2 linked regions of the Oryzias latipes genome follow. The protein of the gene in region 2 binds, or shares a complex with, the protein of the main gene of each other region. Links are inferred from orthologs where the notes say so. Each region holds a gene or a part of one and is shown on either strand. Other genes may lie near its edges.

What was found.
Region 1: tctn1 (region 2) and transmembrane protein 216 share a complex: the UniProt entries of both Homo sapiens proteins name them as parts of the tectonic-like complex. The link is inferred for Oryzias latipes from reciprocal best matches to the Homo sapiens genes TCTN1 and TMEM216.

The regions. Positions count from the first base shown.
Region 1 is NC_019868.2:30,553,162-30,557,390, forward strand, and holds transmembrane protein 216, read right to left. Parts: upstream 2,808-4,229; 5' UTR 2,258-2,807; exon of another isoform or gene 2,135-2,257; 5' UTR 2,060-2,134; coding exon 2,050-2,059; intron 1,752-2,049; coding exon 1,738-1,751; exon of another isoform or gene 1,667-1,737; coding exon 1,573-1,666; intron 1,549-1,572; exon of another isoform or gene 1,468-1,548; coding exon of another isoform or gene 1,428-1,467; coding exon 1,335-1,427; intron 552-1,334; coding exon 350-551; intron 284-349; coding exon 268-283; 3' UTR 148-267; downstream 1-147. Other genes in the region: transmembrane emp24 domain-containing protein 9, read left to right, coding at 3,043-3,175, 3,691-3,791, 3,994-4,119, 4,196-4,229. UniProt on the Homo sapiens protein: Part of the tectonic-like complex which is required for tissue-specific ciliogenesis and may regulate ciliary membrane composition.
Region 2 is NC_019868.2:27,631,718-27,634,021, reverse strand, and holds the end of tctn1 (tectonic-1), read right to left. Parts: coding exon 2,222-2,304; intron 2,151-2,221; coding exon 2,065-2,150; intron 1,990-2,064; coding exon 1,852-1,989; intron 1,770-1,851; coding exon 1,616-1,769; intron 1,525-1,615; coding exon 1,393-1,524; intron 866-1,392; coding exon 719-865; 3' UTR 512-718; downstream 1-511. UniProt on the Homo sapiens protein: Component of the tectonic-like complex, a complex localized at the transition zone of primary cilia and acting as a barrier that prevents diffusion of transmembrane proteins between the cilia and plasma membranes.

The DNA.
Region 1 (4,229 bases), about 2.9 Mb from region 2:
CGGCCTCGTGATTCCTAAGAAAAGAGGACGGACAGCCTTCATGCAAACACAGATCAAAGGTTTTCCAGCTGAAACTCAGACCTGTGGAGGTTCTAGTGGCCCGTGGCCGGCTTCATCTGATTTTGGTGACACACAGAACTCACAAAGCTGCAGAAAAATGTTTATTTACAAAAATCCCTGAAGAATCACAGAAACTTGTGTCAGCGGCACATATGCTAACAACTGTCCTGGTGTCCCTCTGGGCTCCAGAGAACCGCTCTTCTGTCCTCAGTACACCTTGGACCTGCACAAGAACATCGAGGGTCAAAGACTTCCCGGCTCTCAGAACCGGCCTGCGGGCTCAGGGTACCTGGAGAAGGAAGATAAGGCGATGAATCCCAGCAGGAACTCCAGGCCGTAGAAGCAGAGCAGGACGGCGCAGAGCAGGAACTCCAGCCGCAGAACGAAGGTCTGCAGCAGCAGGTAGTAGACGGCGAGCGCCGCACAAGAGACCAGGATGAAGAGCGACAGGCAGGAGGTCAGGGAGCGCTCACACAGGTTCCCCTTCCAGCCTGAATCGACACAGGGGGACAGCGTCAGCGCCTGCAGCCGGCCTTGAGAACCAGCACAGAGCCTGAGCGGCTGAACGCTTCGCCGCAGGTTTGAGTCTGATGTTTCCAGGCAGCAAACGTCTGCAGAGATGCTTTAACCCCTTCATGCCCACTGGTGCAAGGAAGAACCACTCCTCCTCAAACCGACTTTCATTTAGCCTCAACTTGAAAGCAAAAACACAACTGATCATTTTTTCATAGCTGGATATAAATTCTGGCGTGGGGGGGGGGGGGGGGGGTCATGTCACTTCCACAGACAGAACCCTGGAACCCAGGAGGAGAACCCTCCACCTCCGTCTGGGAGGCCGTCCAGGTGAAGAGTGAGAACGCTCTCTCCTCATTGGACCACCGCTCAGACGGGCGTGGAGAGGTTCTGCACCGAAGGTTCCGCTTCAACAGAACCTTCAGAGGCGGAGCTCCGAACACAACGATGAAGGTCACACATTCACACACGGAACCAAGCTTCTTCCTGCTTTGATCTCCAGCATCATCATCGTTTACACATCCCAGCATGCCTTTCATGCTCTGAAGTCCTTTTTAAATCTGAAAACCACATTCTTGGTCTTTCTGACACTTCCATGCTAGCATAGAACCGTGATTGTTCTGACGTTAGCTCATCCAGCACCAATGTCAGGCCCGTCTGCATCCTCTTCATCCTGCATGTTCCATCTTTGTTCTCCAGAACCTCTCAGCCGCACTTGCGGTTCTGGAGAAAGCAAAGCAGATGTTTGTGTTTGGCGTCACCGTAAAAGATGCGCAGAGCCTCCAGAGCGAGGAAGAGGAGCAGCAGGACCACATCCAGGACCAGATTGTCAGACGGGTACGGCAGCAGGATCCCTGCAGCGACACCAGCAGCAACCGTCAGACGCTCCTCCATGACGTCCAGCAGAGGAACAGAGGACAGGCTGGAGGTTCTACGACACCTTCGGCTTCATTCTCAGGTGAAGCCGTGGTGAACCTGCAGGGGGGCGGGGCCACACACCTTTGTAGATGAACATGAGGATCTCCGCCAGGTAGAAAGCGGCAAAGTACCAGCTGTTCAGGTAGAGCAGCACCTGCAGAGGCGTGGAGGACAGCTGAGGAGGCGTGGTCAAGGACAACTGCGGCTGGTGGACAGGCCCCGCCCCCTCTGACAGCAGAAGGATACGATTGGTCGGCTCCCTGCAGACGCGGTGAGACAAAAATGTTGTCAAACTGAGAGTGAAACTGAACGTGAGGCTTAAGAAGCGTTTAGGAGACGTGACGGTTGTTGGACCGGATTATCTTTAGCTTTAGACGGTGGTTTAAGAACGTTTCAGAGGTAAACACCGAGTGGGAATGTTTTTAGCCGCTAACCGGAAATCAACGGCGGACCGGAAGTGTTTCCGTCCGTCTCTGATAGCTGCAGAAAAATGACGGGGAAAGACGGCCTGCGGTTTTTGCGCCGTTCTTTCTGCGACGATGATAAGAAAACACTCACCAGGCGCCATGTTTGAGCCGCTGTGGTCGCTATGGAAACGGCTCTTCTTCCCTGGACAGCGTCAGGCGGGGCTCCGTGCTGCCCCCTGCTGGTCAGGATGAGCAAACAGAAGACACTAATATTTGAAACAATTTCACATTATTTTATTAATGGATGTTCTTCAGTTTCACCACTGAATCACTCTAAATACATAATTAGTCGATGTTACCTTTTATCATCAATGGTCTGAAATCACGTGACATGCGGGTTTCTGTTGCTGTTTCCTGTTGGACCCTCAGAGACCTCATTTAAAGAAAATAACTGTTCTTTCTGCGACATCAACATAGAAACACTTGATCATCTGTTTATTAAATGTATAAATACTAACAGGTTTTGGGAGGATTTCTTTTGGTGGTTCTCTTCAAATTTTCTTATTTCTATTTGGTTACAAAACACATTGTATTACACATTGTATTATTTGGAGTCGTTTCTGGTGATAACTTATTTAGTTTGGCATTTAATACTTTATTAATTTTTGGGAAATTTTTCATCTATAAAAGGCAGATTTTTACAAATCAAATCATTATTCAATACATTTCATAAAGAGATCTGTTTATATTTTAAATGCAATAAAACTGTCAATTTTCATTGAAGATCACATGTTAAATGACAATCCCTAGTTCTCTGAACTACGGTTCTAATGTTATTTATTTATTTGTCTTGTATCTTACTCTTTTTTTCTTTTGTTATGTCTTTCTATTGTAGTTACATGAATGTGTAATCCTTTGAAGTTGAATTAAAAAACCCACAGTGACTCCAGGAGGAGGAGGAACCTTCACAATCTGGTTCTGATGTCATCCGCTCTGCCCAGCACACAACTACAATACCCAGCTTGCCATCGCAGCGCTCTGATTGGTCGAAGGCGCGCCAGGGTTTACGTGGCACTGCTGCGGACGCGCAGACTCCGTCTGAGCTCGGTGGTTCCGGCTGGAAGACGGTTCGGTCCGGATCAGCATGCAGCCGTGCGTGTTGGCGCTCCTGCTGCTCGCGCTCTTCTGCAGCCGCGCGCCCGCGCTCTACTTCCACATCGGAGAGCTCGAGAAGAAATGTTTCATCGAGGAGATCCCGGACGAGACCATGATCATCGGTGAGCGGCTAAGCTAGCTGCCGCGCGGCTAACGCTCACAAAGTTCCGGTTCGCCGTCAAAAAGTTTCCCAACGCCGCCAGAAGTAGTTAGTGAACCGTTTGATGAACGGAGACGTTGGCGAACACCTCGTAGTAGAAGTTGGTGAGGATGTAGGATCGGTCTTTTACCGGGGAACGGAGGACGGTTTAAGCTAACTTCATCCTATCAGCACGCGGATAACAAACCAAACCGCCTGAAGAATCCAGCCCGTTCCCCGAACCTAGACCAGGAACCCAAGCGGTTCTCCTGGAGAATGGGCAGGCAGCTCCTCCAGGAGGAACCAGCAGGTGGAGGTCCGGACCAGAGTTGATGATGGTTCGTTCTGAAGGAGCTGTCTGGGACCGGTCGCTCCCTGAGGTTCCTGCAGAACCGGGAAAGCGGGTCCAACGGTCCTGACCAGCGCGTCCAAGGACCGGAAGTGCTGCGTTCAGCCGGATGTTGTCACTGACTGTGGGGCGCTTGTGTTTGTGTGCAGGAAACTACCGCACGCAGCTGTACGACAAGCAGAAGGAGGAGTACCTGCCGGCCAGCCCGGGTCTGGGCATGTTTGTGGAGGTCAAGGATCCTGACGAGAAGGTAAGCGCCGGAGGAGGTCCTCCTGACACGTTAGTGCCGTGATGCTCACTTTGAGGAAGGTCTCTTCGTTAGATGGTCTCTGTAACCACGGCAACCGCGTCCTGACCTCCGTAAACATCCAGAGGAGGACTTGGAGCTGCTGCTGTTAGTCTTCTGTGGAGGTTTTGGTGGAGTGGACTCTAAGCTCCTCCCTCGCCTGCAGGTGATCCTGTCTCGGCAGTACGGCTCGGAGGGACGCTTCACCTTCACGTCGCACACGCCCGGAGAGCACCAGATCTGCCTGCACTCCAACTCCTCCAAGTTCTCCCTGTTTGTGGGAGGAACGCTGGTGAGGAGGCGGTCGGCGTAAGCTCCGCCCCTTTACCTTCACACCCACGGCTTTAACCGCCGTCTGTTTGCCGCAGAGAGTTCACCTGGACATCCAGGTGGGCGAACACG
Region 2 (2,304 bases):
ACAGTTCAAAAACATGCTTCATAGATTATTTTGTGTCTCTAAATTGCCACTAAGTGTGCATGTGTGGCCCTGGTCAGTAGCTGGGATAGGCTCCAGCAACGCAGTGACCCTAAAAGGGATTCAGTGAATTCTGAAGATGGATGTATCTTTTGTGGGCCGACTTGTCTTAACTAGAAATATCTTTAATTAAATAAGTCATTTTATCTCAGTAAAATTTTTAACTTTTCATTTATTGTGTCTTATTTTTATAAAATAATGTCAGCTATGAACTCTATAGTTGCAGTTACTTAATCTTAAAAAAAAAACAAAGTGAAAAAGGAAAAGGCAGTTCTGTATTTATAATTAAATTCAAGTTTCAGTCTCATAACCACATGAGCTTCTGACACAAACGTTATTTTATTCATATATACTAATACTTTTAGGCTTGAAGCTCTGCTTGTGGTCAGTTTTAATGCAAACTCTGCTCTCGTATGATGATTAACTCGGGTTCATGTCAGCTTTTTCCTGAGCTCCCCCCCCCCCCCCCCCCCCCCCCAAAAGTGAGATTTCTGTGTCTCTGGAACTAAAAACTCCTAAAGATTTATAACTTGAACTTCTCCTTTCTGCCTTTTTTTTGGTTAAAAAACAAAAACAGGTTTAAATAAGACTTTTGATTGAAAAAAATAATTTATCAAATCTTATTTACATAAATTACACCACAAAGCCTGCAGGCGTCTGTTCAAACAAAGGGGAAAAAGAAGTTGAAGGGAAGTTTGGCGTCGATGGTGGGCGTGGCTCTGTAACCAGGAAGTGCGTCTGCAGAAACTGGAACGAAGGCCACAGAGCTTCTGACCGGCAGGCTGCCGCCGCCGCCGCTCAGCAGAGGCTGCGGAAGACGGAAAGCAGAGGGTTAGAGTTCATCCCACCTGGAGACGCAAACGTGTCGCTTTATGACAAGACGTTACATAAAAGTTGCAGGAGAGTTCGTTTGTGGGCAGAATTTCCTGTCTCTCATCTCCAGAATATGTTTGTTTTTTTGTTTCTAACAAATATCTCAACTCGATCTAAAACGGTTTGAGTCCACCGTAACAAAACCGCCGCAGTCTCAGTCAAAGACATTCAACAACCGTCCCAGACGGATGACAAACGCTTTGATTTGATTTCTGTCTGTTGAAATGATGAGTCTGATGGAGTAAGTGTGATAAAAGGTCAGGAAGTGATCATTTAGCATGAAGCTGTGAGAGCAGACGGCGTCTTTTAAGGCATCATTCTTCGTCCTGACGTTTGTGTCTGAGGAGGCGGAGCCTAGCCGCTTTTGTCTTTGGATAATCTAAATTTATTCCCAAACCTAAATGTTCTGTGTTTTCTAAGTCTAAAGTCTGAATTCTGAACCTGCGGCTCCTCAAGTCTCACCAAACTGCTGCTGTTGGTCTGAATGATCTCCCGGATGCTCACTATCTGGGCCTGGGGGTTCTCCAGGGATCCATATTTGGTCCATTCGATCTCTAGATGGAGTGAGAGCGGGAGGCTGCAGCTTTGGTCCTCCTGTGAGTCACAGTCACGGCGGAGACGAGTCAAACCGGAGTGTTTGTGGAGCGGAGACGCCCGGCAGAAGATGGGGTCACGGCGGTCTCACCACAGGACTGAAGCTGCTCTGGATGGAGACCCAGTCTAGCTGCTTGTTCAGCGGGGAGTTTCCAAAGGAAGCCACGTACTGCGGGTAGTTTGGTCCTCTGAGGACGTCCAGGAGCTGCTGAAGGACCAGCGAGCAGTTGGCTGCGTCATCCAGCCTGTGCAGATCAGAGAGGTCAGAGGGTCAGAGGTGACCTGAAGGCCACAGACGGCGTGCTGACGGGAGCGGGACGCGTTTGCCTCAGCGTGCAGCCGGACACGGCGTTCACACCGAAGAGGACCGGGGAGCGCCGGTGAGGACCACGCAGGCAGTCCTGCTCGGCGGAGCTGTGGAGCAGAGACAGAGCATCTCTGAGCTCCGTGCTTCTGCTGATCCCTGTGGAGAACGCGGTCAAGGCGCAGAACGGCAGACAGGCGTGAAGAAACCGTCTCTTCTTCTCTGTGGAAGGATATTCTGCGGTTTTCGTTCCAGACAGGAGAGGGCGTCCGACCACATAGCCGGGATTTCCGCTGAGACGAAGAGCCAGCTCGCCGCCGTCCTGCAAACGGCAGACTAACGTCACGGTCATGTGACCAGAGACCGTTGGCGAGTGAGGATGTGCTGCAGCACCTGGACAAATGTAGCCTGGAACTCCTGCTCCAGCAGCACCGAAGCTCCGCGGATGAACCCCAGCACCACGGAGACGGCAGCGT